Rattus norvegicus: one gene and its partner. The protein of the gene in region 1 purifies or fractionates together with the protein of each later gene. This does not show direct contact. Links are inferred from orthologs where the notes say so. Each region holds a gene or a part of one and is shown on either strand. Other genes may lie near its edges. The genes, in order: Cstf3 and Cstf2t.

The links.
Region 2: the proteins of Cstf3 (region 1) and Cstf2t purify together in Homo sapiens (co-immunoprecipitation; 4 studies listed by BioGRID and IntAct, counting the BioPlex papers as one, with this or other methods). This does not show direct contact. The link is inferred for Rattus norvegicus from reciprocal best matches to the Homo sapiens genes CSTF3 and CSTF2T.

Annotation. Positions count from the first base shown.
Region 1 is NC_086021.1:111,476,038-111,492,119, reverse strand, and holds part of Cstf3 (cleavage stimulation factor subunit 3), read right to left. Parts: intron 14,639-16,082; coding exon 14,541-14,638; intron 13,519-14,540; coding exon 13,452-13,518; intron 13,334-13,451; exon of another isoform or gene 13,308-13,333; coding exon 13,273-13,307; exon of another isoform or gene 13,192-13,272; coding exon 13,065-13,191; exon of another isoform or gene 11,784-13,064; coding exon of another isoform or gene 11,665-11,783; intron 11,604-11,664; coding exon 11,526-11,603; intron 10,266-11,525; coding exon 10,103-10,265; intron 7,966-10,102; coding exon 7,856-7,965; intron 6,967-7,855; coding exon 6,850-6,966; intron 6,435-6,849; coding exon 6,360-6,434; intron 5,792-6,359; coding exon 5,648-5,791; intron 4,591-5,647; coding exon 4,488-4,590; intron 1,332-4,487; coding exon 1,262-1,331; intron 1-1,261. UniProt on the Homo sapiens protein: One of the multiple factors required for polyadenylation and 3'-end cleavage of mammalian pre-mRNAs.
Region 2 is NC_086019.1:238,357,316-238,374,105, reverse strand, and holds Cstf2t (cleavage stimulation factor subunit 2 tau variant), read right to left. Parts: upstream 8,065-16,790; 5' UTR 7,996-8,064; coding exon 6,106-7,995; 3' UTR 4,498-6,105; downstream 1-4,497. UniProt on the Homo sapiens protein: May play a significant role in AAUAAA-independent mRNA polyadenylation in germ cells. Directly involved in the binding to pre-mRNAs.

The DNA of each region.
Region 1 (16,082 bases):
CTGTAGGAAAGTAAATAAAACCAGTACTCAGTCACAGAAGTTGTTTTAAAATAAAGATCTCCAAATAACAGAGAAATAGGATAATATAATGAATATGTGTCTTCTATTAGGTTTAATAATTGTATTTCACCGTATTTGTTTAATTTTATTTTTTCTTAAATATTTGAAAGTCAAGTACAACCACAACACAACACTTTACCCAAATATTTGGACATTAAAGTTCTTTCCTGAGTTGGGAACACACACACACACACACACACACACACACACACACGATTATTATCTTCCTACTTGAGGTAAATAAAAGGCATCAGAAGGAGATAAACTCTGTGGAAAAGGGACCTTGACAGACCTTTATAATGTTTCGTGTATGTGGCTTCATTGTTTTGCTTAGTGGGATAAATTATGTTTCAGAAGATATTCTTCATTTAATGTATGAATAAAACTATATTCCAAAATCTAATATATAATATTGACTCACTGCAGCCAAACTACACACATCACTGTCTTGTTTGCTTTGTTTGGTTTGATTTTTCTCTGAGACAGGATTTCTCTGTCTTGGCTGTCCCTGGAACTCACTCTGTGCACCAGGCTGGCCTTCAACTCAGAGATCTGCCTGCCTCTGCCTCTAGACTGGGATTAAAGGCTTGTCCACTACCGCCTGGCAGTACAAACCACTGTTTTAATGTTCTCAGATTACGTAAGTGCCACAGGCACCCAAAGTAAGATCCTGGGTATCAATAAAGTACCAGGAACAGAATCCTGCCGAACCCTCACACTGGAAGACATGTTTGTGAATGAGTGAGCTGGTGAGGATTAGGGAGAATGCCCAACTGTCTAGGTGGGTGAGCCTGGAAGTGAATACGCTGGCTGTGCCACTATACCATGTCATTCTCTCAGTCAAAGCCATACAGTGGGGATGTAACACAGAAAACCAGCTTTCAGTATAAAAGAGCCTCTGTATTTCACTAGTGAAATAAATTTCAGAATGCTAATATACGAAGTTCTAGAAATATAGAAAAAGTAGAAAAAATATATAAAATATATAAAATAAAAATGTAAGCTTAAGCAAGTATGAAAATATTGCAAGTAGGTAAAATGAGAAAAGAAATTTCTCTGAAACTCACACTCAAGCATCCATTACATATCAGCGATCACACACCCTGCATGACTTAGCCAGACTCACACTCAAGCACCCCTCACATGTCAGCGGTCATACATCAGAGCTCACACATCACAGTCATACATCCACATGGCTTACCCGGACTTCTCGGGAGGAAGGCTTCCAGACGTCAAGACTCTTTCAAACAGAACTCGGGTGTTATTGTCCTCTAGGGTATTTTAGAAAGTTTAAATGTTAAATCAAAGAAAGCTTTACAGTTCAATAATTATTTTTTAAGTGCAAAGCAGAACAAAGTCCCAAGCTTTATCTCAGTTAATCCCACAAAAATCTAATGCAGAAAAATGACTTTGTCATAAATGATTTTTACAGATAAGGAAATTTGCAGGTTCAAAATCACTGAGTTTGCCAGACTTTATTTAATCCCACAAGTCAGAAAGCAGAGACAGATCTCTGTGAGTTCTAGGCCAGCCTGGTCTACATTTTGAGTTCAGGCTAGCCAGAGGTACACAGACCCCTGTTTCAGACAAGCAAACAAACAAACAAGCACTCCCCGCCTGACTGGCTTGGCTCATTGTTACCAGAAGCCAGGTCTTTTGACCTTCAACTGAGGCCTGGTTTATACACAGTACAATGCAAATTGCAGTGAGGACTGAACCAGATGTCTTATTTTTGCCTTTCAAAACTAATAAGAAATACTATCTTAGATTTTTAAGTATTAGGAGTTCATTTGTAAGTGAAAGCAGGAATTTTCTTGGTAATTCAAGGGATCTTTAAAAAGAACTTAAGAATATAGCAATAATAATTGAACTGATCAGTTAAAATGAGTAGAATCATGATATCTAAATTATAGCACAAAATTTTGTTTAAATCCTTCATCATGACTGGTTTTTATTTTATTAACACAGACATTCAATTTACTATCTGTGCATATGCAAGATAACTCATAAGAGATTAAAGATTAAATGAATTTAGCCAAACAAGATGGCATCAAGACAGATGCACTACATTAAATGACTTGATATATTTTTACATTTTAATTTAACTTATTTTTATGTTGTGTCTGAGTGTTTCTCCTGCATTTGTGTCTGTGCACTACTTGCATTCAATCCCTGTGGGGGTCAGAAGAGGGTGTTGGGTCCCCTGACACTGGAGTTGTGAGCCACAATGTGGGTGCTGAGACTCAAGTCTGGGTCCCTTAGAAGAGCAGCCAGGGCTCTTACCTGCTGAGCCATCTTCCCAGCCCCATATTTAAAAACTGTTATTAAATATTACCTTTATCTTTGCTTTAGCGCAGCTTTGCTCTAAACACCCCTTTTACTCTATCTCACAGAGTCTCCTCCCTGATCAATGCTCACCATGTTCTCTAGCTAAAAGGACGTTTTCCTTCCTCTCTATCTGGCTCATGTTTCCTGTGAATCCTTAGGCTAGCACAGCCACACAGTGGGATGCAGCAGAATGGCATTTAGAACCCTGCTAGCCATTCTGAGAGGGTAAAATTAATCTTAAGGATAGCCAAGCACATCCTAACTGTCTTTTCAACATGTAAACAATATGAAAATCACAACAATATTTCACGTTATTTACTTTTGTTAGAATTAAATCTCTGGAATCTGGCATTTATGCTGGTTAGCACAGGCACACTCATTTTGCTCGATGACTAATAGTCTAGATGCTCCGAAGCCTCAGAACAGCTCTGGAGCTTTCCCATTCACCTCCACCATTAGACACAATTACTGCTGCCCATATATACATTATATATACCCATGTATACATCAAATGCATGCAAAAGCCCAACTTGATTTTCTCAGTCTTACGAAGGGTATAACCTCACTGCCAGTGGTAGAACTACAGTTAAGTTTACACACCAATCTCATGTACAAGTAAGTGCAAGTTTTCTTAAAACAACTTTCATACGAGATTGTTTTATTTTTTAGATTTATTTTCTGTCTATGGCTGCTCCGCCTGCATAAATGTATATGTACATGTACATGCCTTCTGGATCCCCTAGAACTGGAGTTAGGAATACCCACGAGCTACCATGTGGTTGCTGAAAATCAAACCTGTGCCCTTGCAAGAGCAAACAATGTTCTTTTTTTTTTTTGGTTCTTTTTTTCGGAGCTGGGGACCGAACCCAGGGCCTTGCGCTTCCTAGGTAAGCGCTCTACCACTGAGCTAAATCCCCAGCCCCCAAACAATGTTCTTAACTACTGGGTCACTTCTCCAGGTCTCCCAGTTGCCCCCCCCCCATTTATATATCCTGAACTATCAATACTAATAATAATCTTATGGAGACACACATGAATGGGTACTTACCTAGCATGAAAATGGTTATATTACTATTACTCCAGCAGAGTGGGAAAATAAAGGTGTCAGTGAACACGCTTCTTTTAAAACTTCGCCCCATAACCTCACAAGTAGTTTTGGGTTTGGGGGTTACAGACTTCTAACCCATCTACTGTTACATTACTAGCTGGAGAGGTTTTAAATATCTATTTACCCCTAGGAGACAAGAGATGAGTTGCACAGAGTGGCCAGAGAACAACACAGACAGCTCTGTCTCCTGACGGACACTGCAGCTTCACCAGTTGTGGTAGCTCTTTCCTGATTCAAACCACTCTGGATAGTCAAACAATCTACCATCATTCAGGAAGCATGAATACATGGTCGGTAGGACTGGTGACAGCTTGGTTGGTAGAATGCTTGCTGTGATGGCTTCTGTGGGTTGGTACCTTGACTACATCTGGAATTAACTAAAAGCCAAGTGGCTGGGTATACCTGTGAGAAATTTTTTTCTTTTAACCCAGAGCTATGAGGTAGGGCTGTCCATCTTTAATTTGGACCACACCTTATGGCGGCAGCCTATATAACGACATGGAAGAGGCCATCACTCTTTGCCAGCCTGGTCTCGGTTTTACTGGATAGTCCTTTCCTTTACTGGCATTAGAGCCTATTTCTTCAGGCTTCTGGCACATACTGAGGAGCAGCTGAGACATCCAGCCTCATGAACTTAAGAACTATTGGATTCTTGGACTTCCCTTGGTAGACAGCCATTGTTGGAGAAGGGGACCATAGCCTGTAAATCATTCTAATAAACCCTACACACACACATAAACACATACATGTATGTTTGATTCCCAGCACCCGCATGGCAGCTGACAGCTGACTGTAACTTCAGTTCTAGAAGATTCTATACCTTCTTCTGGCCTCCAAGGGCAACGAAAACATTAGTACATAGACATAACATACAGGTAAAAGACCAGTAAGTGGCTCTTACACAAACACACACACACACACACACACACACACACACACACACACACACACAAACCATGACAGATATTCTGGAATTCTGGAATCAACTTACCATTGAGGTGAGAGAGATAGTCAATATAAGCCAAAACATACTCTGGAATATCTCCATATTTCTTTAGTCCCAATTCAAAAATCTTAAAGGCAACAGATTTGTCCTAGAAGTAAAGACAGTACTGGTTTCTTTGAAATGCCAGACAATGTATGCAAAAGAATCTTTAGACTACAGAATATAATAGGCATGGTGGTGCACACCTATAATCCCAGCAGTGGAGACTAGGAGGCGGGAGGATTGTCACAAATTCAAGGTCATTTTAGCTTACATAGCAAGACACCTTTTCAAAATAAAAACCAAACAAATAAAAAACAATAAATATTCTCACAACCTCTAAATATGACAAAGCACAGAAGAATTAAAATGGGTGAGCTAAATAAAAAACAACCGAGGGGTTAAGTTCGGAATATGAGTTTTATGCTTATACTTCATGGCCAGCCTAGGGAATGAAACAAGAACCTGTCCTTTTAAAGTGAGAAGGCGCTGGGCATAGCTTGGAGGTAGAACTTGCCCAGACTGCTCAAAGCCCTCAGTCAACCCCAGCACCACCATAAACAAAACAAAACAGCCAAGTAGCCAATGTCAACACCTGTCTAAGACATTTACCACAGTTGCTTGTGGTGGTTCACTGCCTGTAGTCCTAGACCTGGGTACTAAAAGCTGGAAGATGGAAAGTGTGAGACCAGACTGAGAAACTTAGTGACATGTGCTTCAGAACAAAACAAAACCCAGTGAACAAACAGGAACAGCCAAGGGGTGACCTGCAGTCGGTCACTCAGCGGTGAGCACTTGCTCATCAAGTTCCAACCCTGAACACTGCCCTCCAACACCCTGAGAAAATATGAGAGCTTATCTAGGATGCAGGAGGCCCTGGGTTCAATCAGCTACAGGAGATGACCAATCAATCAAAAAAGAAAAAAGAAATATGAGCTTAATAAGGCATAAATAAGCAAGCAATTGAGTTGAATAATGTTCAATATAATTTTATGTAGATAAGCTTAAGACCTTTACAAAATGGAGCAATTGATTACTTAAAGTAGAAGGGGAGGGTAAGGAGATTTACTATGTAAATCGCTGGCAGAGAATTCACACTGACATGTGCCTGCCTCTGCCTACAGTGCTGGGATCAATGACCTCATCCTCATGTAAGCAGTGCTCACCTTACTGCAGTAATACTCCATGAGCGCTGCGGTCACATAGACGTGATGACGGGTTCTCGCATCCTCTCTTGCCTTTTTAAATATCATTCTTCCAGATTTGATACCTTCTGCTCTCCTTGCAAATTTCATATATTGGATATATACCTATGAGAAAATAAAATATTTGTATTATATAAATTGGAATATACTCTTCACAGTATCTAGTACCAAGGCACTGAGTTGTAGGCCAATGTTTCTAGTATAAGAAACTACAGAGTACAGTTATAAGCTACTTTCCCCTAGGTGTTAGGGACACGTGCTAATTTTTATTGTGACATAATTTACATAACACAAAATTGTTCTAAAGGGTATAATGCAGTGATTTTTTTCTTCTTTTTATTATCATCAGAAGGTCATACAATAATCACCACTAATCCTTTTTTGTATTTTATAAGATAAAGCTTTTTTGTGTAGCCTTGCCGGTTCAGAACCTGGAATTCCCTCTGTAGACTCCGATAACTATATATTCAAAGATGACCTTGAACTCCTGCTCCTTCTGTCTCCACTTCCCAAACACTGAGATTACAAGTGTGAGCCACAATGCCCAGCAGTGTTTTATTTAGAGGGCCCCAGGATCTAATAAGATATCAGAACAAAGACTCTTGTATGTAACAATTAAATGTTTGCTATGTTAGGTCAGATAATGGTGGTGGGAAAGAGTTAGGTTACTCACCAAGGTGGGGTCAATGTCCTCAATTGCCAGCAGTCTGTTATATATACTGTGAACTTTCTCGTACTTCATGCGACTCTAAAGTGGCAGAGAAGTGAACATAGTATATACTCACAAACGAGCAAATCTGAGCTTTAAGGAACCTGAAGACTGCACTCCTATTCATAGCACACACAATGGCACCAACACTTCACATAAACTCATATGAACTCGAGGACTAACAACTGTTTGTTGTTACCATCTCTGGCTACAAAAACAAAGATGCTACCAGAAAAAAGTTTTAGTCCTGGAGTAAAATTGTAAGCAGTAGATATGAGTATTCACCAAGTTTAGGAAGAGCCGTGAGTGTGAGGGCTATACACACAGACACTGACAGAGACAGACAGCCAGCCAGCCAGGCAGACAGACAGACAGACACACACACGCACGCATGCACGCACGCACACACACACACACACACACACAGAGTTCCGAGTCTGCTGACTCTTCTCACCTCTTCATAATCTGCATATGCAAAGTAAAGGAGCATGTTCTTCTTTAATAAAGTGCTGATGGCTCGTTCATATATATTAGCAGCTTCATCACTAAATAATTTGGCATTGTTCATATCCTAGGAGGAAAAGGATCCTCAGTAAGGTATAAGTAGCTGAAAGGGTAAAGATGGGGCAGCGTGCACTCTAAGACGCACGTGCTGTGAAAACAAATGCGCACTGGTGTTAAGGACTTCTCCGTGTGCTGGGCAGAGGGGAGTCTCTAGGGCTTGAGCCAGGGCCTCTACTGCCCAGCTGCACCCCAGCTCCCATACTTAAGTCAGTTACCATTTAGTGCTTCAAACAACAGTCACTTTGACACAGTTTTAAAAGCCATATTTTAATTCTAAGGAATTATGAGTGTTACTAAAGTTCATCCTGATATAAGTTTAAATATTTCCTTTTCTTTTTTGTTTTTTCCAGACAGGGTTTCTCTGTGTATCCCTGATTATCTTGGTACTGACTCTAGAGCAGACTGCTCTTGAACTCAGAGATCCACAGGCCTCTGCATCCCAAGGGCTGGGGTTAAAGGCGAGTGCCAGCACTTGGCAAGCTTAGATTGTCAACATATACTTCTTATATATAAACTTTTTGGGTTGGGGATTTAGCTCAGTGGTAGAGTGCTTGCCTAGCAAGTGCAAGGCCCTGGGTTCGGTCCCCAGCTCCGAAAAAAAGAAAAGAAAAGAAAAAAAAACTTTTTAATATATTTTGCATATAAAATAATGAGTTTTATTATGGTATTTTCACCCATGTCTACCGCTGTACTTTCCTTATACTCTACCCAACCTTGTCTAGCCTCTCCTCCTACCTCCCAAATAGTTCCCCTCTGAATTTAATGTTACACATGTATGTATTTAAGCATAGACTATATTACACTTTATTACTAAAATTGATGTTACATTTTGTCAGTTACTCTTACTGCTATATCAAAGTCACAAAAGGAAAGAGAGGAATGGGAGGGATACGCACCCCCTTTTCTGCGAGCAGCTTACTCGACTGTTCCAGATACTGGGCAGCTTCATACCAGATATCAGGGTGATGGCCCAGCACAAGTAGGCACTGTTCATAGGCAAACATAACTAGGGAAGACAAACACACATTGCCATCATAATCACCTCAGCTGCATCATTAGACTCAGGCATGGTCTTTAACGATGAGGGATAGTTGGTTCCAACATTTAAGAAGGACATAGTCTACGCAGAGGACAGCCATTATCAAAGTCCTCTGACCACCACCACCACACACACACACACACACACACACACACACACACACACACACACACCCCTATAGGAGACAAACACAGGAAGAAAGCAAGCCTGAGTGACTTCACTAAGTGACTGTTATCTGAAGACCAGAGGGGCAGAAGCTGGTCAATGGAACAACAAAGGGAAGAGTGTATACAAATCAGCAGAGGTTGCCAAAAATGTGACTCGGTGGTACAATTCTTGTTTGGCGTGCAGGTGGTTCTGGCTTTAATTTCCAAGCCTCCAAAATAGATGTAGGCAAAGAAACAGTACTGCCATTAATTAGGTGAACCTGCAAAGTTGAAGAATTCAGTGAGGTGCCAATCCAGCAGTAACAGTGATTTGTACAAAACTAACCCTTCTGGGTGGGTGACGGTGGTGCACACCTTTTATCCCAGCACTTGGGAGGCAGAGGTAGATGGATTTTGGTGAGTTTGAGGCCAGCCTTGACTACAAAGTGAGTTCAGGACAGCTAGGGATGTTAAAAAAGAGAAACTCTGTCTTGAAAAACAAGAAATAAAAAATAAAGCAAAACAAAAACAATGACAACAGAAAAAAACCAAAAAGACTAGCTCTTCTGAGATTATAAACTGAAAACAGAAAGCATCTCTTTGACAGAGCATCTGCTTAGCTTAGCATATACATACATGCTAAATTCCTGGCACTTCTCTATCTTCACCCATGTGTCTATATGTATGTGTCTTCATATACATATATTATGTAATAAAACTGAAGGCAAGCCCCCCAAAAAACCCAAGCCACAACAACAAAAGCAATAACAGCAGCAAAAACAACAGAAACACACACACACACACACACACACACACACACACACACACACACACACACACACCCAGTATTAAGCGCATTGCAGAATGAAGCAGGAGTCAGAGCAGACTGGGCCATGGGCAAAGGTGAAGTTCATATCATACAAAGTCCAAACAGATGATAATTCAACTTCCTTTAAAAAAAGCCCTCAGTATTCTTCAAAGAAGACAACAGAATCTAGTCTTTATTATTCAAACATTCATAAAATGTTTAAAGAAAAAAATTATATGGGTAACAAAACATGAAAAAGTAACCAACAGTTAAAAGTCAAAGGAAACCAAGCTCATGATGGCCCACTGTCTGAAGGGATGATCCAATGAGGACTCTACTGCAATAATCCTACTCAAGGATCTAAAGACACATATAGAGGCTGAAGAGAAGGCGCAGAGAGTAAGAGCGCTTGTTTTTGCAGACAACCTGGGTTCGATTCTCAACACCCACATAGCAGCTCATAACTATCTGTAACTCCAATTCCAGAGCATTCAATGGCCTCTTTGGGTCTCTTAGAATACCAGGCCTATAAGTGATATAAAGACATTCCCTTGGTCAAAACATCCATATATATATATATATATATATATATATATATATATATATATATATATTTAAACATACATACACGCATACAGTTAAAAATTAAAATTAAAAAGCAAAACAAAACAAACACACATTGTGACATATGAATCTCAATAGAGAAATTAAAATTATAAAAATTTCCTGGAAATTCATAGAACTAAAAAGTACAGTATATAAAATGAACAATTTGCTGGATTATTTTAACATCAGATTGAAGATAATAAAATAAGGGGAAACTGATCATGAAGATGGATCTATAGAAATGATTATGAATAAAAAAAAAACACAAGTAGAAAAACAAAAAGTTCAGAAAACAAACAAACAAAAGCAACAACAACAAAACCAACCCCCAGCCTCGTGGTAGTGCATTCCTGTGACCCAGGAAGCTAATACGGAGGTTAATGAGTTGGAGGTCATTGGGGTCTACAGTGAGCTGGAAGCCACTGACCTGTAGAGCAATAGGCAAGAGTGCGTGGGAGGAGCAGCGCCGCGCTGGGCTAATCCTGGAGGCTAGGACTGAACAGCCCCAGACACAGCAGCTGCGGTCCCGGGCTACCCGCCTCACCTCGCTTTGTTATGAGGGTCTGGTCCTCGGTACGCAGGGGGTTGCTCTTCTCCCACTGGATGTACTTCTTCCACATGTCTACTTGCTGAGCTTCTTGAGGGGTATTCTGAGGGGGCACTGAAGGGGCATTGCGGTCCAAACCTTTCATCACTGTCTCGTATTCCTAAACAAGCATTGAAAGGTTCTGATGAGCTCAGACCAACTCAGATATAAAGGGAGCTACTTGATTGGCTGGAAACACTTTGTTTAGACGTTTACTCTCTTACCCCTAATATCACTTTGTTATTGTGATTTTAGAATTCAAGGTTATCCTAAAATACACAGTGGGTTTAAGGCCAACCTGGGCTATATGAGACCCTGTCTCGAGAAACAGAAGTCAAATAACATCCACAAACAACAAAACAAAACACAAGAGTAAGAAAAGGCATAATAGAATATCACAAAACAAATCCAGACGCCTAGGAGTGGTGCACAGAATACTCACAGACTATCTCTGCAGGCAGTGTATGAGGGCCTCTCTGCAGGAAGGGTGATGTAGAAGATAGCACGAGTGAGATTTGGTAGCGTTGTTATTGACAACGTGGCAGAAACTAGTAGCTTTTGTATTATTGGGCTATTTCCCCAATGAATAGAAAGGTATGTATACAGCACAAAATCTGTCCCACAGAGCTATGGTATTTTATAAGTGCACTGACTGCAGAGTAACACAATTTTCAGATAAGCAAAGATGAAGGGAAAGTATCAACTACTTCAATAATTCTATGCAAATCTCTGTTTTGAAAAATATTTTTAGCCAAGCATGATGGCTCATGCCTATAATTCTAACACTTGGGAAGCTGCTGACACAGGAAGAGCATTGTGAATTCAAGGGGAGCCTGGGCTACATCAAGGCAGTCAGCACTACATAGCAAGACTCTGTTACAAAACCAACCAAACAAACAAACAAAATACTTTTTGGACTGGGGATGTGACTCAGTAGTAAAACTTTTCCTAATGTATGGGAATCCTTAGGTTAGATAATGCCCAGTACACACACACACACACACACACACACACACACACACACACACACAATTTTTTCCAAGTCCAACAAATAGTTTGCCATTTAATATAACTTAAATAACTATTTTAATTTAACTATATCATTTTGCCAGGCAAATTGATCTGTATGAGTGTGAGGCCATTCTGGTTTGTTTTATGAGTTCCAGGACAGACATTGTTACATAAAAAGATCCTGTCCTCAATAAAACGAATCAAAACCAAAAATCATCAACTCAGACAAATATCAATTAGCTATAATTAGCTGTCATTAATTAAGACTCAAATGATTTAAAATATCAAGAGTAATACCAGATGGGACAGCTTTGCTAATTATTTTAATAATTCAGTAACATTAAATTAAGTAGCCCATAGAATTTCATACCTTTGCTACACGTCTAGCATTCATGTAGTCTCTACTTCGATCTTCAATCATCTTTTTAGCTAAATGAATATTGATACCCTAAGGAAAAAATATCGTTATTAACTGTTTTTTTTCTTTTCTTTAAAATATCTCTTTACAGTTTTGCAAATCGAACCCACAGCCTCCTGGATGCTAGGCAGCCAGACAAACACTACACTGAGCCTCACGTGCAGCTGGGAAAGAATAAGTAGACTGCATGCAAGACGGCTTAGTAGGTAAAGCTCTTGTCACAAACGCCTGGTGGCTTATGATCCATCTCTAGAACCCAGGTATAAGTAGAGAGAACTGACTCCACACAGTTGTCCGGTGGCTTCTACACATCACAATGCTACATGTGTTCCTTCGCCTCTACATTAGAATCCGCTCTGTCAATCGTGAGTGGGCGATCCAATCCTATTAATAGGACACATCTTTTTTTTTTTTTTTTTTTTTTTTTTTTTTTTTTTTTTTTTTTTTTTTTTTCGGAGCTGGGGACCGAACCCAGGGCCTTGCGCTTCCTAGGTAAGCACTCTACCACTGAGCTAAATCCCCAGCCCAATAGGACACATCTTTATTTTACTTTGTGTGGATGGATGGGTGGGTGCACATACTGTAGCACATGCTGGGGATGAGAACAACTTCCGGCAGTGGCTCCTCTCCTTTTACAATGTGGGGGCTGAGTACTGAACTCAGGCCACCAGGCAGGGCAGAGAATGCCTTTACCTGTTGAGCCGTCTTACTGGACAAGGGTTTGTTTGTTTGTTTTACTTTTTTCTTTTTAAAAAAAATGTGTATTATTGTTTTGCCTGAGCTATGCCTGTGCACCAGTGCATGGCTGGTGCCCATGGAAGCCATGAAGAAGAGCTGGATTCTCTGAAACTGGAGTTACAAATGGTTGTGAGTCACAATGTGGGGTACTGGGAATTGAACCTGGGTCCTCTGTATCCAGTGCTCTCAACTGCTGAGGTAGGTATCTTTCTAGCTCCTAGCCCAGGAATTTTTATAGACATGAAATCATGAGATTCTGTCTTAATCTAGTCAAATCAGTCATTAAGCAAACAATGATAGCTGGCAACAATGTGGACAAAAGGAACAATTCCTGGTGGGGATGTAAATTAATTCAAAAGTCAACACAGATTTCTTTAAAAAGCTACATATAGACCCACTAAATGATCCAGCTATACAATTCTTGGGTAGTGATCCAAAGGACTGAAGTCATCATACCACTGATATACTTGCAAATTAATGTTTATTGTAGTACTATTTAAAAAAATAAATTCTTTATTGGAATAAATATAAAACAACATGTCTAGGAATATATAGTTCAATAGTAGGTCATTTCCCTCATATGCATAAAGCTCAGTGTTTAATTCATGGTGCAACAAAACAAAAGCCAGTAGCAGCAACAGACACTGGGCAACACTAATATTCAGGCACTTGACACTAGAAGCTAGATTCCCTACGTTTACAATAGATAATAATTAAAATGGCCAGCTTGTAGTAAACTCTGGCTTATTTTACCTCTTCATACTTGTTGTAGTCTCTCCAGAGTTGTTCAATGTTGATCATTGGATTAACACAACCTCGTTGATAAACTCTTCGGACAGCAGTTATTCTCTGATTTTCTGCATAAGATCCTACAGCTTCCCTGAAGTTAAATAAAAAGTATCATTAATTGTATTATAGCTAAATCAATTGTTTATATAATAAAAATTAAGACAATACTTACACGCCTTTTAAGAAATTGATGTAATCCACCCAAATCTAAGAAATAAAAAAAAATGTTAATATGTTTTTTGATATTTTTTCATATTTAGGAGTATACCCAGAGTCTCATGCATGCTGGGTAAGTACACTACCACTGAACTATATACCCAGCCCTTGTGTATATATTTAATTGAACTCTACCTGATAGGACATAATTTCCATTCCAATTTTATCCAGTGCAAAGTCATAAGCTTGAGCCATTTTTTCTCTGAAAGGAACATGAAAAATAATTTTAAAAATTTGTTATTAGTTAGGTTTATGGCCCATACCTGTTATCCCAAGAAGCTGAGGCAGGGTCACTACCCTGAGTTAGAGGCCATTCTGGGTTATATAGTAAGTTCAAGGCTAGCCTAGGATATCTAGTATATACCCCATACTACTCTGATACAAAGCAAGACCCTGTTTGAAAAGAAATCAGAAGCTAATCAAAACCTAAAACTACTATCAAACATGTCAGAGAACATCCACTGAGAGAGTATCTGAAGATAGGAATGTCACAGTGCGGAGTTCACTACTAAGTAGCTGCCTTAGACATCCTAAGTGGACATTGTACCATATAATTGATGAGCATGTGCTAAGACAATCATTAAAAAGCTTCTCGAAAAAGTTTGACAAGCCTGTCAAAAAAGTACTATCATGTTGTAAATACACAGTGTTTTAATACAGAAAAATTTGGTTGAGTCAGTTCTCAAGTGTAAGATTAGTGCCTGTGGCTTTATTTAAACCACTTTTCCTGATTTCTTGGAGAATTCTGACTTTTCAAATACTTAGGTTTCTTCTTACCTATAGCTCAGAGCTGGTGTGAGACATGTGGGAATGATTGTGTCTAGAGACCACATGCATCAATACCAGCCACGGCCCAGGGTTTCTCTGTGTAGCCCTGGCCGTCTTGGCACTCAATCTGTAGACTAGGCTGGCCTCAATCTCAGAGGTATACCTGTCTCTCTGTTTCCTCAGTGCTAGGATTATAGGTGGGTACCACTACACCTAGCTCAATATGCATTCTTTTATTAAAAAAAAAGATTTATTTATTTATTATATATAAGTGCACTGTAGCTGTCTTCAGACACAACAGGAGAGGGCATCAGATCTCATTACAGATGGTTGTGAGCCACCATGTGGTTGCTAGGATTTGAACTTGGGACCTCTGGAAGAGCAGTCAGTGCTCTTAACCACTGAGCCATCTCTCCAGCCCTCAATATGCATTCTTAATACCATGATTTCACTTACTTGTAACTTGGCAGTTTACCCTTGGTTTCTCTGACGTATGAAAGATAACACTTCCATAAATCAATGTGCAAAACCTTCATAAGGCATCTTTGAAATAGCTTTAAATATAAGAAAATAGTATCAGCGTCCAGATAAATACATTTCATATTTGCATGAATGAAACAGCATTTAAAATAGTCAGACTTTTCAGGAATTAATTTTCTTATTAATAAAAGGCATATAAGAGGGATGGAGAGGTGACTCTGTGGTTAAGAGCACTGCCTGAGGACTTTAGTTTGATTCCCAACATCTATAAGGCAGCTCACGACCATCCATTACACCAGTTCCAGCAGGTCAGATGTCTACTTCTGTGGGCACCAGGCATGCATGTGGTGCAGATTTTGAAAAGGCAAATAACAATCCTTTCAGTTTAGACAATCAAAATCATGCCCATGCATTTCACAAATATAGTCATTTCCTTTCATTTCCCCAGAACCATAAGTAAATATATAAGTGAACAAATACAATTATTTTTCTTTTGTAATGTTTTCTCAGTTCAAATTAGCATATGAAATAAATTTCATTGAGGCATGTTCATTTTTTGCCCTTATTGACCTTGTCCCTTACTTCTCCTCACCTACACTCCTACTCATTCCCTGTCTCCCAATCGCTCCCTCTGCCCTCATGGCCAGTGTATTCCATACACGTCTGGTTTATTTTGCTTAACACAGGATATCTAGTATCTAGTTTCATTCACTTTCCTGCAAATGTAATGATTCCACTCTGCATATATACTGATTTTTTTTTAATTCATTGGTTGATAGACATCTAGGCTGGCCCATTTCTTCTCTTATGAACAGTATAGCAATAAACATGGATGCATAAATACCTCTATGGTAGGAGTTAGAATCCTTTGAATATATAGCCAAGTCTGGTATACTTGGGTATATCTCTTATGAACAGTATAGCAATAAACATGGATGCATAAATACCTCTATGGTAGGAGTTAGAATCCTTTGAATATATAGCCAAGTCTGGTATACTTGGGCCACATATAGCTATTTATCTGTTTTTGAAACAGGGTCTCACTACATATCTCTGGTCGTCCAGGGACTCTCTATGTAAAACAGGTTAACCTCAAACTCAGACCCAGGTACCCCTGCCTCCCTTGTGCTGGGATTAAAAGCATATGCTACCATACACTGCTGCAGCTTATTTCTCAGGCGGGACCTCGACCTAACATAACTATGTACTAAAAACGACTTCCCAATCTCCCGTCTTCACCTCCCAAAGGCTTGGGTTATAGGTGTGCATTACAAGTCTGGTTTTTATGCAGTGATGGGGTTGAAAGGCAGAGATTAACCATGTGGTCAGCAGTTCCGGCTCCCACTGCTCAGTTTTTGAGAAACTCCCATGCTAATTTCCATAGGGCTGCACGACTTTATACCCAACTAACGGTGTTGAAGCACTTCCCTTTCCAGCGGGACTTAGTGACATCTTTTTCTTGGTTTTAGCCATTTTGACTAGAATAAATTAGAATTTCTAAGTAGCTTTAATTTATAT
Region 2 (16,790 bases), on another chromosome or scaffold:
TCTTCATTTCCAACATGCCCCCAGGTGATACCCAGGCTGCCCATCCAAGGACCACTTAAAGGAGGGAGAGATTAAAACACATCCCATTTGCTGAAGCATTTAACCCCAGGGATAGCAGGAGGGAGGAGGGCCAGAAAGGTGACAAGCTGCTGTCTTTCCTGAGTAATCCCTGTGGAGAGGGAGGGCTGGTGATTAATACCAACCCTAAAATTTCCTGAGGGGGTTTTCCCTTTCATTAACTGAAAACTTCCTGAGAAAACTGAAGGTTTCACATGATTTGTTAAAAATTCAAAATTGCTTTCAATTGAAATGAGGGACAGATAGACAGATTCAACTACCTACCCAAATAATGTGTGTGTGTGTGTGTGTGTGTGTGTGTGTGTGTGTGTGTGTGTGTGTGTGTGTTGGTTTGTTTTGTTTTGAGACGGGGGCCTTACTATGTAGCTCTGACTGTCCTCCCAAACCTCTCTGTGTAGACCAAGCTGGCCTCCAACCCACAGATCCATCTGCCCACCCCTGCCTCCAGAGTGCTAGGATTAAAGGCATGTGCTATCTCGCTCTGCTAAAGTAATTAAAAAGTGATCTCGCCCCTGGAGGAATTTAACATTTATTTTTAGCCCAATTTTATAAAATCTTTTGTAAGTTTTCATAGAAATAACCTTTTAGGTCAAAACTTATTCAACATACCTGTGTCTTATCGATATTATCAATAGCACAAGTAGGTATGAACTTACAGTAAAACACAACTGATGTAATAGACACAGTTGATGTGTGATACATACACACATACAGATTGCTTTTTCTAAAACTTATTTATTTATGAGTACACTGTAGCTGTCTTCAGATGCATCAGAAGAGGGCATCGAATCCCATTGCAGATGGTTGTTGAGCCACCATGTGGTTGCTGGGAATTGAACTCAGGACCTCTGGAAGAGCAGTCAGTGCTCTTAACCACTGAGCCATCCCTCCAGCCCCCACATATGGATTTAGAAATAATCATGTGTTTTTGCAGCATAGTTTACGTATACATTATTTACCTAGACTAAGGACTATATAACATCTTGAACCCACAGATCTGCCTGTCTCTGCCTCCCCAATGTTGAGATTAAAGGTGTGTACCACTACAGCCCACGTTCACATCTGCATATTATAGTAATAAATAAAATAGGCATTTGGGGGCAACACAGTTGATATAACTGTAACAGGGGAATAATGAGTACCTCATGAATGGCAGTCATCAAGTGTCCTGTATACACAGATCAATCTGCTCTGTAAAGGATGGAAGAATGCAGCTCAACCCCAGCAAATACTTAAGTTCAGAGAAGGTAACTACGCTTGACAAATCAAAAGAAAGGAAGTGGGCCAGTGACATGGCTCACTGGGTAAAGCCACTAGCCACCAAGGCTGACTGCCTGAGTTTGATCCCTGGGTTCCACACGGTAGAAGAGAAACAGCTCCCGCAGATTGTCCTGATTTCCATATGTACACACACACACACACACACACACACACACACACACACACACACGTAAAAAATATTTTTTTAAAAAAGATATAGGTATTTGGGGTAAATATTTATTAAAGGTTCAAAAGGTTTGTGAGAACAGTATGTATTATTGGGCAGGCCTTGTGGGGATTTCTTTGGCTAATATAGAAAATCTATAATATTGACAATTTTTAGCCTTTGCGATCATTTTGGTTTGTTTTGGGCTATTTTGTTGGTTGTGTTTACAGGAATAACCTTGATAAGCCACCTACCTGCCAAACAAGTTCTTATTTCATACAGGTCAAATTAGACACTAATGAATCTAATGGACCCTAATAGCCATGTATTTCCACTAAAGAATACAGTTGTTAAGTCCCAAGTATTACAGGGATCGATTGGCAGCCTTGTAACTCCTTGTAACTCAAGGAAGAGGTTGAATCTGTCACAAGACTGGAAAAACATACACGTTCAAAATAACATGTTTTGAGCAAAACCTGTGTGCAGGTTCAATTGGCCGACAGGCTACCAATTCAATAGTTTGTGCCTGAAGGTTTTGAAAGACAAAGTTTTGGTAATAAACTCAGTAACTATCCCAGGTGTTTCACTAGCACATTTTTCTCTGTTGCTGACAAGAAGACGGGATGGAGCCCCTTTTCTCTCATCACTGACTAAAAAGTTAATCATGTTAGGTATCGGCTTAAAGCAATGAGGTAAATTCTAATGGGCAATTAATTTTGTTTCTACCTATCAATATTTTAGTCATGCTGGATGCTATTATATTGATCTAACGTGAGAATGTTACCTATGATATAAAGTATTATTTTATAAATGTTAATACCCTATGCAAGGCCGATAAAGTCCCATTACATTAACTCAGGCGTGCTATTTTTTAAATTGATACACATTTCAAGTTCTATTACAGCTAATGCTTAAGACGAAGGGAGTTGAAAACTGAGTTATTGCCAATTAATTTTTTTCTGAGGAAGATTAATTTGAAACCTTATTAATGCCCACAAGAAGCTTGTAAATGGATTCTAAAATTGGTCTAAGTTGCTTCACACTAACTGCAGGCAGTAAGGTGAGGTTTGTGGTCAGATGTGTGCGTAAAATGGTCCGTACGCTTTTATAGATTTTTCATGTAATGACAGAATTCTGGTTAAAACAGCTAATTAAGAGAGACACCATGGTTAGAAAGAAACAGTTTTCATTTCTCTATGTCTACAGTATTATTCATTCTACTGAGGCAGACCACAAATCACTAACCTAGCAGATTTAGGAAGGAAAAAAAAATCAATTTTTGGATAGTCTGAAGTTCATTCCAAATGCATATAAATTTTATACATACTGAATCATTAAAGTATTTATAATCAGAGTTAGTGTATTTTATACCACCTATTGAATTACCCACCTTTAGGCCTTAAGTCAAGTCAGTTATAAAGAAATATTTCCCTATGCAGTTGGTAACTACTTGGGTTCTCTTACCCTACTACTTACAATGTATGGTTTTTACTGGTTTTTTTTTTTTTTTTTTTTTTACTTTTTGATAGTGTGAACTTGTCTCAAAGAGTTTCAAGCCAGTAAGCACTTCAGAGTGTTTACATATACACAAAAGAATAACAAGATCTTATTGCTAGATCTAAAATAAGTATTTAAAAATACTATACATCAAGAATGTATACTTAAATATCACTTACGGACATAGCTTTAATATATTAATGATTTCCTCAATAGAAATCACTTCTTGCCGTTTGTGATTAATACCCCGATGAGAGTAACACGTTTCAACTGAAGAAGTCTGTTTAGATTAGCTAGGGAAATAATGCAGGGGCTAACATTCTCTGTGAGGACTCAGATGTGACCGCAAATTCAGTTTCCCTATCACAGTAGGTGGCTGCTCCTAATTGTCCTAAGACATCATTAGACCTAAGAGAAAAGCCCGACACACCATAGGAAATGAGGTTCTGCAAGCTTTCTTAATGTTCTATCACAGCATGGAAAACCAAGATTTGCAAGCTGGGATACACATTTTCAGAAATGTTTTCTACCAATAAAATTCCAGTCCCGGAACAATCTCACTTAGACTAGCTCACCTTTGCCAGAGCCAATCAGTGTATCCCTTCCATACCAATGTACAAGCTCTAGAAAATCACACCCGTGCAGCACTCATTAGTAACAGGGGAAGGAAAAGGCTATTGTGAAGATACTTAGTGACAGGCAATCATGATATAATCCCTCAAAGCATGTAATGCCTGAGAGTAAAAAGCCCTAAAGAAAGTTTGGTTATCAGTGTCACATTCCGTCACCTTCAGTGATACTGTGAACAAATTCGTGTACCAGATACAGTTTGAACTAGTCTCCTATAAATCAACCAAGGCCCTTTACTTTCTGTATCAATACCAGAATTAAGTTCTTAATTAGAAATGAGAAAGTATTTTGACTAATGTGGCCCTGGGTAGAAACAACCCCTCACATAGCCAAGGAGGACCCTGAAGTCCTTTTTTTGAAGAATACAAGTGCTTTTTTTCTAATTTGTATCTTAATGCAAAGAGCTGTTATGTATTGTGATGAATCTAAGTCCTTTGAGGATAAATTTGCTCTTAATGAAATTTCTTTTCCAACTAAAACTGGATGTTTTACCCTTCCTTTCCATCTGTTTTACTGCAGTGTACACTCAAATGAGTAAGGTGTTTCCCACGCCGTTTCCTATTACAACTTGGGGCTCTGAGTAAACACAATCCCTCCAGTAAAGTGACCACAATCCTTTCTAGTACAATGCTGTCAATGCTTAAGAAACCTGAACACAGTATTCCAAAGGACACCCATGTCTGATGTGGGAGGTGTCACAACGGACTAGCAGTATCTTCCTCGTATTCCAACTGTTGAACTACATATACAATAATTAAAGGTATCCATCGGTTTCCTAGTTTCACTTTTTTCTACAGATGTATGCATGCATGTATCTCGTAAAAAGTTATTTCCCAATGTATTAAATAAAACGTACAAAATACCTTAATTATATAACCTTTTTATTTAATTTTCATGAAACAATGCAGAGATTTTCTTATAACAAAGACTGTAAGAAGTTTTGGGCTAGCAACTGCAGTCTCGAAAGAAGCAAGCAATTGGAATTAGTCAGAACTAGCACAAAGGTACAGACCACAAACCCACCTCAGCATAGGAGGCAGAGGAAACCACAGGAGTCTAACACTAGCACAAAAACTAAATGGCTGGAAAATAGCCTAGGAATGAAAACTCTGTACACTCAAAAATGCTCAAACTTTGCAAGGGAAAACAACCTTGGGTCAGCTCCCTCCCTAAGGCTGCTCATCCCTCTGTAGGTGGGTATTTATTTTTCCACAGAGGAATGCCACTTGGTCAAGTGGGAGCTTGTGCTTGTTTCTGCTCATTATCTAAATATGACACCGTGTCCAGGTGCCACATTGATTGAAAATGATACAGTAGCTCTAAAAGAAATGGATTAAGTTCCACATTCCTTATTCTCAAACACACTTCATGGGAACTACGTTATGACCAAAGAGCTTTTGTGAGTTGTGAGAAATAACATATTAAGTTAACTGAGCAGAGTTGTCAGTTCACTTGGGCCCCAGTTCTAGCAAGGTGATGATAGAAAAGTAGTTTGTGAAAGTTATCAAACTGTAAGACATATCAAAAGGCATAGAGTAAGATTTTAACTTCTGGTTCTTGCTGACCTAATGGATTCCATCTGTGAATGGATAGTAGGTTATCAAGAACTTGGGAGCTTTACTGAAAAACAAAAACAAAAAAACCCCAAAAACCTCCATTACTCAAGAAAGTCAAACCTCATGTCTGATTCTTTAAAAGGATGTGAAAAAACTACTTACAACCAGACTTGGGCCTTAAGAATTTTTTAGAGAAATGTATAAGAAGGAGGTTTTATGTAATTCAGCTGACACTACAACTATCCTGCAAAATTACCAGTTGGGATCAGGCAAGAATATTAATGGTCTCAAAAAAAAAAAAGTCAGATAAATGAAAATTATCTTTTTACAGATAACAATGCTTTAAAAAAACACACATCTACACCACAAACTGTTAGCTCCAATATTTCAAAATAATTCCAAAATAACTAAACATTAACCTTACTACAGTACTCTGCTGCCTCCAAAATATAGTAATTTCTTTTACCAAAAAGTGTACCTTAACATTCTGACATTCAGTTCAATATACAACCAAAGAACTTTAAACTATCTTAGTATATCAATACTGTAACAAGCCACTTTCAATTTTTATGTAGTTCCCAGTTTACTCAGTATTTTTAAAACACAGTTAACAAAAGTGCAAATTATTGCCGCATTTTCCTCATAACCTTATTTTGTATGATGTAGTCATTTTTAGGGTACCCAGTAGAGTCAACAGTGACAAAGTAAACAGGCCCCCCCCCTCCACCCCCTCCCCTCAATCAAAAAATAAAAAGGAAAACAGAAAGTAACAAAACTAGAAATAAGATTTAAGGTCTGGGGAGAAGGAAACCTTAAATGGTTAAAGTGTGCGAACACAGAAGACAGCTTTTTGCACCCACTTCATGCCACAGAGTAAACCCTGAAGGAATAACTAAGTACTTCTTAGCTGAAAACCTTTCAAGAAGCACCCGTAGATTTCTGGATTTGTTCCTTTAAAATCAAAATGCTCTGCCTTTGCTCAGGAGGCAGCATGGCAATCTGATCTGCAGTCAGCTGAAGAACCTGCATGATCAAAGCTGCTTTTTCTTGATCTTGAGGAGTTACCTGGCTTTGCCCCGGGCTAAAACTACTAGGCTGGCCCGCACCTTGCTTACTGGCTCCTTGCATGCCAGCCCCCTGCATCCCTCCTCCCTGCATGCCTGCCCCCTGCATCCCTCCTCCCTGCATGCCTGCCCCCTGCATCCCTCCTCCCTGCATACCTGCCCCCTGCATTCCTGCTCCTTGTATACCTGCCCCCTGCATGGCACCTCCAGGATTTCCCACTCCTGCAATGTTTGGAACCTGTCGAGGTCCCTGAGGGCCACCTGCCCCCATATTAATGGGGCCAGGACCCTGGATCCCACCAGTCATCGGACCTCGGGAACTAGGGCCAGGGCCCCTCATCTCCAGTCCTCTTGCGTCTATGCCTCTTGCTTCCATCCCTCTGGTTTCCATTGCACAGGTCTCCATTCTTCTCTCCATTCCTCGTGGCTCCAAGACCTCCGTTTCCATGGGCCGGGCCTCCATCCCTCGAGAGTCTCTTCCTCCTCTACCATCCATAGGTAGACCTCTTTGATCCATCATGGGACCTCTGGGTTCTCCAATCAGCATTCTGGGATCTGCTGCCAACGGTCCTCCTCTCATATCATGTGAGGCAGGGCCACGGTTGTCATGACCATGATGCATTGGAGGACCCTGATGGGGTGGTCCCATATAGCCTCTGGGCTCTACTTCTCCAGTCACTGAGAGCAAAGTTCCTCCACGCGGGTCATTTGGAGCATCTCCCAGTAGTCCTCGAGGAGGGATGCCACCAGAAGGCATGGGTCCACGAGGCATTGGAGGTCTAGGATCTGATATCTGCATCTGTCCTCGCTCTAAGGGCACTGGACCAACCACTGGCATGCCAACCTGTGGCTGCATGGTTCCTCCCGGGGTTAAGGAACCAGGTCCAGGTCCAGGAACTGCAGCTGGTATTGGCCCCGGAGCTGGAATTCCGCCCTGGATCGAGGTCTGCATCAGAGGAGGAATGTCCTTCACAGGTCTTCTTGGTAAATGCTGAGGCTGAGGGGCAGGATTCTGTTGGTTCAACATGACGTTAGGTCCTGGGCAGAGGCCAGGGGCAGGGCCGGGGCCAGGGCCGCCAGGGCCACCAGGGCCACCAGGCCCACCAGGGCCAGGCCCAGAGACAGGCTGTGATTTGCCTGGGATCAGTGGTGTGACATGGATCTTACGATGCAAAATTTTCAGTGCAATCTCTGGATCCATGATTCTCATCACCACTTGTGCCTGCAGCAGAGCGTACGCCAATTGTGGGTTCTGAAGTAGCATGTTTCGAGCTTCCTGGTGACTGTTTTGGACACACAACTTCATTTGCTTCATCAGCTCAAACATTTGCTCTGGGGGCAGGCTGGCGACTGCCCTAGTAATCGATTCTGGAGCATCTTCTGGATCAATAGGGTCCCCATAGGGTGAGTCAATGATGGGGGCTGCCGGGCCTAAGCTTTTTAACTCCTCCTTGTTCTTTTCACTGGCAGCATTGTCCACCCGAAGCGCTCTCCCACTAAATTCTCGCCCATTGAGGTTCCGCATGGCACTAAGCGCAGTCTCCTGGTCTTGGTACTCGCAGAAGCCATAACCCTTGGGCTTTCCTGTCTCTCTATCGTAGACGAGACGGAAACTGACAACTGAACCAACCTCCGAGAAAATGTCCTTTAACTGCTCCTCCGTCGCCTCATACGGAATGTTCCCCACGAACACCGAACGCAGTGATCGATCCATGGCTGGGTCTCTGACCGCCAAACTCGACATGATTCCTGCCGAGCGTTTAGCGGAGAGTAAATTCGTCCAAGGGTCGTCCTCTGGTGAACCACACTTCCGCTCTGTAACGGAAGCAGACACCAAACTCCGGACCGAAATCTTTCTGCTAGAAATCCATAGTTCCGCTAGGCCGCAGAAACTGCTTCCTGAGACCGGACTAATTTATCTTGCACCTTCCGCCCCCGGCCGTGCGCTCTGCTTTACGCGCCTAGTTACTGACAGTGGGATTCCTTTCCATGATCCTATTGGTCGAGTTTCCCCCGCGTTCCGCCCCCCTCTCTCCCTTCCTGCGGTCGCCGGATACATTAGAACTGACCTCATTAAAAATGGCCGATCGGACTTCACTATGGTTACGGGCAGCATCAGCGTCTCGGCTCATTGGGGGCGGTTTTCATTGCGTTTCACCTGCGGGAAACCGCCAACCGGAAGCTGATTTAAGGCTTAATGTTTTAATTACTGATACGTGTGTTTACACAGCTGATTTCGTTTAGCATAGAATATTTGAAATATTTTAAATCTTATTCAAGATTTTGAGGTAAAATGTTGATATTTGTCCCTTAAACTATCTTAAAAACATTAAAAAATAATTCTCGCAAAGATAAATTAACGCTTTGGCATGTTCAAACTGTTACTAGGTCCAGGATCCTCCCGGTGTCTTCTGTGTGTGCAGGCTGTGATCATTCCTCCCTCCTCTTACGAATTTTAAGCGACATAAATGCTAAAGTGGAATTAACTAAAAAGTATGACTGCAGAGTATGGATGAATCGATTTCATTTAACTTTTATCGTACACATATAGGTAGTTGGGATTGGATTGATTGATTGACAAGGTCTCTATGTAATCCTGACTGTCCTGGAGCTTGGGCTGGCCTCCAACTCTCAGAGATCCTCTGCTTATGCCTTCCAAGTACTGGGACTCAATACCACACCCAGCTAAACTGTATATCATATCATATATAATGTACATATATTTTATATATATAATGTGTGTGTGTGTGTGTGTGTGTGTGTGTGTGTGTGTGTGTAAATAAGACGGGGGGGGGGGGGACGGGGTTCCCAGTATAGTACTGTAAGACTGAATTCAAAGGCAGCCTGTCCTACATATTGAGTTCCAAGCCAACCAGAGCTACATAAAATGAGAACTTTTAAAACAAATACATTTTATTTAGATGTGTGTGTGTGTGTGTGTGTGTGTGTGTGTGTGTGTGTGTGTGTGTGACTTTTATAGTTGTGGACTATATAGATCAAAAGGGCTACTCGCAGGAGTTGGTTCTCTCCTTCTACCCTGGGATCAAACTTGATACACAGGGGCAGTGCTTTACCCACTGAGCAGTCTTCCTACTCTGCGTCTTCGAAGTTGAATTTTAATGTTTCTTATTTTTAAAATTAATTCCAGCACAATTAAACCAATGTAGACATTGGGCGCAGGGTACTGTCCTATGACAAAATGTCATTGATTCTGAATAAACACAAGCATTATCAATTAAAGTTTAGCATTGTAACCAATGTTCTCTGTATAAATAAAATGCATTCAGAATTTTGAAGACTAAGCACTAGAAATGTATAAAACAAAATTCTTGCCAGTTTTATACTTTGAATACTGCCTTTTTTATGACCAATACATAATTTTCATAGCTCTAACTTGGAAAAAATCCAAAAACATCATAGCTTATATTTTGGTTTGTTCTTGGTTTTTTAGAGTACACTGTCACTGTCTTCAGACACACCAGAGAGACATTACAGATGGTTGTGAGCTACCATGTGGATTTGAACTCCAGACCTCTGGAAAAGCAGTCAGTGCTCTTAACCACGGAGCCATGTCTCCAGCCCCTTGGCTTTGTTTTTGTTTTTTGAGACAGGGTTTGTCTATGTAGCCCTGGAACTTAGTCTGTAGACCAGGCTGGCTTCGAACTCAGAGATCCACCTGCCTCTGCCTCCCAACTGCTGGGCTTAAGAGAATAGGGCTATGGCTTATGTTTTGAAGAAATCTGTATATGGTACATTTTTACATTCAGTTGTCAATTAATTCAATAAATTAAGATATCAGGTGTACTAAAATTAGTTTCGTTGTTTTAACACGGTGCCCCTTGGCAGCCAGGGTGGCCTGAAATTCACTGGGCATGTAGGTCAAGCTGTCTTCAAATTTGCAAACCTCCTGCTTCTCCCAGTGGATGCTGGGATTAGAGGCAAACACCACAGGCCTTTGACTTTACCTGACTGATTAAAGGTATTAAAACATTAAATAAAACATTCACCACAAACTGGGCATGGTGGCTCACCTTTAATCCCAGCACTTGAGATACTTCCTGCTCTCTATTCTAGTCCCAGGCTAGTGATGGCACAGAGAGACCCTCAACACTTTAACAGTTATCGCTGTTAAATACTGTCACCTTAGTCCCTTGTAGAAATGGTGTTTAAACTCTTACTCTGGATTACTTTGGGGACCTATCAGTCAAACTAAAAACTAAATGCCTTAACTAAAAATGTACATGTTTTCCACCAAAAAGACTGACCACCGAAATCACCCAAATCTGACAGATTTGGCAAATATGTGGTATTTATAATAGGGGTGGTCATGAGTCTGGAATCACAAGCTCATGGACGCCTAAGACAGGCTGAGGCTCATTTTGAGCTCAAGGATAGCATGGATTACTGAGTTGCAGGCAAACCCGAGATACATGTAAGACCTCCCCTCTCCTTTTAGCTATTTTCAGAAATTAAATTTTATACCAAATTGTAAATGCTGTAGTCTTTGTGAATCTATAAAATGTATTAAAACATTAAATTAAAAAAAATCATAAACTGGATGTGGTGGCTCATACCTTTAATCTCGGTATTTGAGACACTTCCAGGACAGCCTGATCTACATATCTAGTTCCAAGGCTAGTCATGGATATTCAGCGAGACCCTCAAAACATAAATAAAATACACTTTAAAAGAATTCACTCTGGATTAAGTAGATCCAATCTAGACATATTCTTAAGATATTTTGAAAAATGCCGGGGACTGGAGAGATGGCTCATCAGTTAAGAGCACTAACTGCTCTTTCAGAGGTCCTGAGTTCAAATCCCAGCAACTACATAGTGGCTCACAATCATCTTTTAAAAAAAGAAGAAGAAAAATGTCTGGTACATTTTACCCTTCCTGCTGAGAATTGACTTGAGGACTTCAAGTCGTCTACTAAATTGTAATCCCAGCTCTAGCCCCAGGGACATTTTTTTATTTGTCTTGGTCTCTTAAGAAATAACCAAAACACTCCACGAAGTTTATTTTTCTAGTCCCTCCCCCTTCCTGTTAGTTGAACATATTTCCATTTTCCTCTGGATGCAACTGGATCGTCATCTGGACCTTTTTGTGGACATGAATTCATTTGCCTCTTAGTAGAATTGTGACTTTGCATCTACAAAATCACTCAAGGAAACATGTAGGTCTTTTCATCCCTTGACCATCTGCCTCCTATTTCTTATTCCATAAATATCTTTCCGAACACTGTCAGTACAGCAGTGTGAAAACCAATTTGTTAGAACAAATTCTCTGCATGGGTCTTGTGTACTGTTATATCAGCCTCACCAGTAAAAAGAAAAACACCTCAAAAATGAAAGTTTCCCATGCCTCTCCTGTAAGAAACACAGATATCTGTTTGTGGAGGCCTAAAGGCGATTTAATGAAGGTCATAGTTGGAGAACTATTCCACTTCAGGGAGAGAATCATACCATAAATACACAGATGGTAGTTAACATGTATAGATGAGGTTTTTTTCATTTCTGGGTTTGTTTTGTTTTTGTTGTTTTGTTCACCCATGTAGCCTCAGTCGCTGCGGTGGTGAAGCTTCATCTAGGGAGTTCCTGTTACTTCACTACTTGAATGAATGATTTCAAACGTCTTTAGAGTTTGAGTATTAACAAACCATTTAACCTAGAAAGAAACCAGTGACATTAAATAGCACAGTCCAAATTGTAGCAGCCTGCGGCCAGGACACCTATTTTCTTATTCTTAGGTTGATGATAATTCCTCCAGGATACTATTTTTAAGAACTAGATATGCAGGGTGGAGTATCTAGAAATGGAATAAAGTAATCCAGAGAGATCTATATTCCTAAAGGAGGCTTCCTGGTGGAAATGGTATTGAGGGACGGTTCACAATCGACTGTAGACAAACAGAACAGAAGCGATTCAGACAGCAGCTGCACTTGGCCAAGATGTGACATTGGGACTTGGTGTTTTGTATGACCTAGAAGCGAAGGTGCCTGGTGATCATGTGATGGGACATAGTATAACAGTTCTAAAAATTAAATTCATGAAAACAGGTTTTTTTTTCATTTTTTTGTTGGTTGTTTTCTTTATCTACATTCAAATCCCCTTTTCAGATTTCCCCTCAGGAAAGCCCCCATTCCATCCTCCCACCCCCCACACCCACCCCCGCATTCCCCTACACTGGGGCATCAGCTTTCCCAGGACCAAGGGGAACAGTTGTGGTTGTAAAGTCAGGAGGCTTCTTTTTAAGCCAATCACACCTCGATTGCTTCCAGCTAAGCTCTTCAGTCCTTTTCACCTAAGTGTGGCATCTGGCCTTTCAACCTTTAGCATCCTCTACAGTGTAGCTCCAGGTTTACTACCCATCCTCCATCACTTTGTGCACTTTTCTCTGGCTGACCTGGGCACCTTATTTTTCATGGCATGCAATCTTTGTTTTTCTACCCCCTTGTCCATGTATTCATAACACCTTCTTTTCCCAGTTTTTATATTCATTTCGTCACATTTAACTTCTTGTTCTTCAATGCTCACCTCAATGTCTTTTTCTACTAAAAGCAACAGTATGTGTTTGGTGGCCATGTGTTAGAAGTGTCTTTGAGTTAGGCAGCCATAGCGTCCTGCGCTACAGCTAACTGGAATTAGGCATAGTGATGTTAATGAGTTTGTCTTAACTAGGACAGGCAACTGTTCCACGGGACTCCTCAATCAAGAAATCAAGTTTGAAAATGAACATTCTAGTCAAGAAATGGCCCATATATGCAGAGTAAGAGGCAAAGCTGCAGCCTGAAACCAGGTCTCTTGAAATTAAGCTTCCTATTGCTCAATTAGCCTAGTAGTCATGGGTTACCGAGGCCTGGACACAGCCTCCATTGGCCTTTTTCCTGATTAGCTCTGAGTGTTACTAATTGCAATTTCGACATGACAATCAGTGCTATGGCAACTGATGGGCTGACCATATAAAGACTGAATCAGTTGAGAAAGATGTTTTCTTTTCTTTTTTTTTCAATTGATAGGACCAATATAAAACCTCAAATAAGGCTTTTTAAAAGCATGCAAGTCACACAGGTTATGAATTCATTTCCATAAAAGAGCCTGGGTTTCTCAGATCCCAAATTAGGCCTTTCTGAGGCCATATTTCCCCCACATTTGTAATACATTTAATATGAAAAGAACATAGAGGGAAGTAAATAGTAAATTCCACTTATGATTCACTGTTGTTGGCAAGAGAACTATTATGTAAATCTGAGGCTCTGAAAGTACACCACTGCACGACTACAAGTTAAATGGAGCCAAATGTTGTCTAGTCAATTACCAGTCTATTATTGACAGGCTAAGAACATGTAACACAAGGACAACAAGGTCCTGGACCAGAATTAACTGCCAGCTTGCTGACATCATCTGTAATTGTGTCTAGGTCTTCAGTCTATGCCAAGCAGACAATGTTCTCAGGGAGTAGGATGAAGGGGTTTAGATTTCAGTCTTTAATCTTAGAATTAGGTTGACAAGAACTCATACATCTTGGACAAATTAATTCTCGTTACTTCTGCTTTGTCATCTTTCAAGCGAGAATGCTATTACCTGTATTGGATTGTTGTGTTGAAGACATAACCTGTATTTTATCATTTTCATACTGTATTATCACTCTGCATTTGTATATAACGGTAATATGCAAAGCAGACTTTTAAGTGGAAAGAGGCTCAAACCTCACTTACTCTAATGTTATTTTGAGATATGCCTTATTCGTGTCACTGAGAGGGCTGGATTTGAAGAGACAATGGTCTGTCGTTAGATTCTATTATTTTAAACTTGTATAGAGACAACTCTAAGATGGGCAACATTGTTCAACTATGCACATCTGTAGCTGAGCGTAAATCATTTTCAGGCTCAATCCCATAGGATTCTTCAGGGAGCGGTTTACTGATCATAGTGGTGTTTATGAAGTTCTTTTAGTGAACCATGAGATGTTCTCTTCAGATATTTGGTTAGCTATAATTATCATCTTTACCCAATGGCTTGTGCAAACGTTTACACAATGGAATGTGCAGACTCCGCTAACACTGCCTTGGTCTAGCACCTATCTGAGTGCGGGGTCGTGTTCAAGCTGCTGTTAAGATGGTTGCTTAGGAGAAGGCGCTGCCAGACGAGCGCAGATATTCAACCATGGGAACGAATTGGACAAGGAGAGAAACTCTGCCACTCTCGCTTTGAGCTGTCACCTGAGGGAACACAGAGAAAGCAACTAGCCTCATAAGAATGGAAAACTTCAAGCCCGAGTTTGGAGCTGAATGAAGATAACGTGTTTAAGAGGAGCCGTTCATGGATCCTTTTAGCTTTTATTCTTTTCTGTGAGCAGAATAGTCAAAGATCCAACTTCAAAGAAGTGTCTAAACTATTCTCTTCATAAATGGGATTGTATTTTACCTCTGGGGCTCCGGGAACCTAAGAATGAACCTATCATGACCCCGAGTTATGGGAAAGTGGCCTTTCTGAAGCATTTAGTTGGGGGTCAGGATTTAAAACATCACCAATAAAACGACAGCGTGGCAGGACATATTTTGGACTCCTTATCACAGTTGAATGCTCTCCAAAAAACATTACTTCAGGAGTGCCAGTCTAAATTTGTCATATTCCACTAGACTCCTGAGAGTTAGAAATTTGGTTAAAATGTAAAATGCAGTGTATATGAGAATGTCATAGCTAGTGCTCTGTGGTGCTGATCCAGAGACCAACTGCAACTACAGAGAGGGGTGACATTGGGGGTTACTTTAATGCTCGCTTGTGACCTGTCATAACGCAGAGACCAGTCTGGTAGGGATGCTGTAATAAAATGCCATAAATTGGTTGGCTCAAAGAGAAACATTTGCTTGCATAATATGAAAATGCTGGCAGCCGGGCTTTCTCCTGTGGCTGCCCTCACTCTGTGCCCTCACCTGGCCTTGCTTCTGTGTAGACAGAGCCTTAGAGCATCTGCCTTCTCATGAGGATATTCACCAGATTAGATCACTCTTGGTGCTTATGGGCTCAGTTAGTCTCACATATTGCTAAGCCCTAACATGAGACACAGTCACAGGAGTCATTAGGTCTTCCAATGTGAAACTGGAGAGCCTTACAGAGAAGGGCATAGTAGCCATTGATGTTGATATCTCCAAGAAAAGAAGGAACTGGGTTTTTTTCTGGATTTCATAAAACTCTGTTCCATCCTCCTCTCCCAATTGTGTGTGTGTGTGTGTGTGTGTTTGCATGCACACATGCATGCATGTCTGTATGCATGTCTCTTTATGTATAAGTATGTGTGTATGTATTTGTTTGTATATGCAAATCTGTACATGTATGTGAATATGTATGTAGTTGTGTGTATATTGCCCTCCTTCACACCTTGTTTATTTGCACACTTATATTGACTCTTTTGTGCTGAAGATCGACCTCTCTCTGCTTTCTCTCCTCAGTGAATTGCTGTTTCAGTTCTCTGGGGGAGAACTAGAGTGCCAGGATTTCTCCCAATGACAAACCAGGTTTACCCCTTAGTTCAGTACAGCAAAGGGGGGGGGGGGGCTCTGGGGTGAAGCAGAACTCTGCCCCAACTCTACTGCTCAGGAGAGATCAACTGAAGTGCCAAGAATTAATGTCCCTTATCTGTGGAGTCATAAGGAGGCCCAGGACAGGAGCAGGGTGGGTTTCAGAGCAGCGCCAATTACCAGATACAGAGTTTCAGTCAATTCGCTTACTGGTGCAGCAGCATTAGTAAAATCTCTGTGGAGTATGGATTCCAAAAGTAACTGTAGCTGACGAACATCCGTAATCCCAAACTCAAAGGTAAAGCACCCATATTCATAAAAGATTTTCAAAAGAAGTGCTTACTTCATAATTTATGATCTTCAGAAAACACACCCTGTGTATGTAACATATGATTTCTTGAAGTTGAGTATACCTTTGTAAAGCCCCAAACGCTTCCATCCTCCCTATAAAAGGATTGATAACTCTATCTCGGCAGTTTAATGACACAACAATAAACAGTGACATTGACTTTCTTATTGTCTTCCACACAGTCTGCTGCTGACATTTAGACTGAAATCCGTATCTACCTTCTCATCGGGCAGGACAATCAGAGAACTTCTTCTCCCTGGCCTCCAGGTGTTTGCCAACTCCCTCCAGGTTCTAGGAAACAAAAAAACAGAGGGCCTGCAGGGAAAGCAGGAAGTGCAAATGACCTATTCCTTCTGGGCTCAGTCTTTTGTTAGGCTGAAAATGGAACCCTGTGTGTCAGCCCAAAGCCCAGAGGAGTCCACAGAAGAGAAGTTGGTGCCTGCAGGGAGGATAAAAACAAAAGTGCAAAGTCTCCTCTGCCTATCTGGCTTGCAATCTGCTGCCAAGGTCCCAGGACCAGGCCATTGTTGCAAACTATTCATTATTGCCAGCGAGACTTCCAAAGAGAGGCCAGGTTCCAAGGAATCCTCCTGAGAGCAGGTGTCTGCAAATGGGGTGGCGGAGGCGGGGAAAGGCAGAAAAGTTTGCACCCCCATCCTTAGGAAAGCTG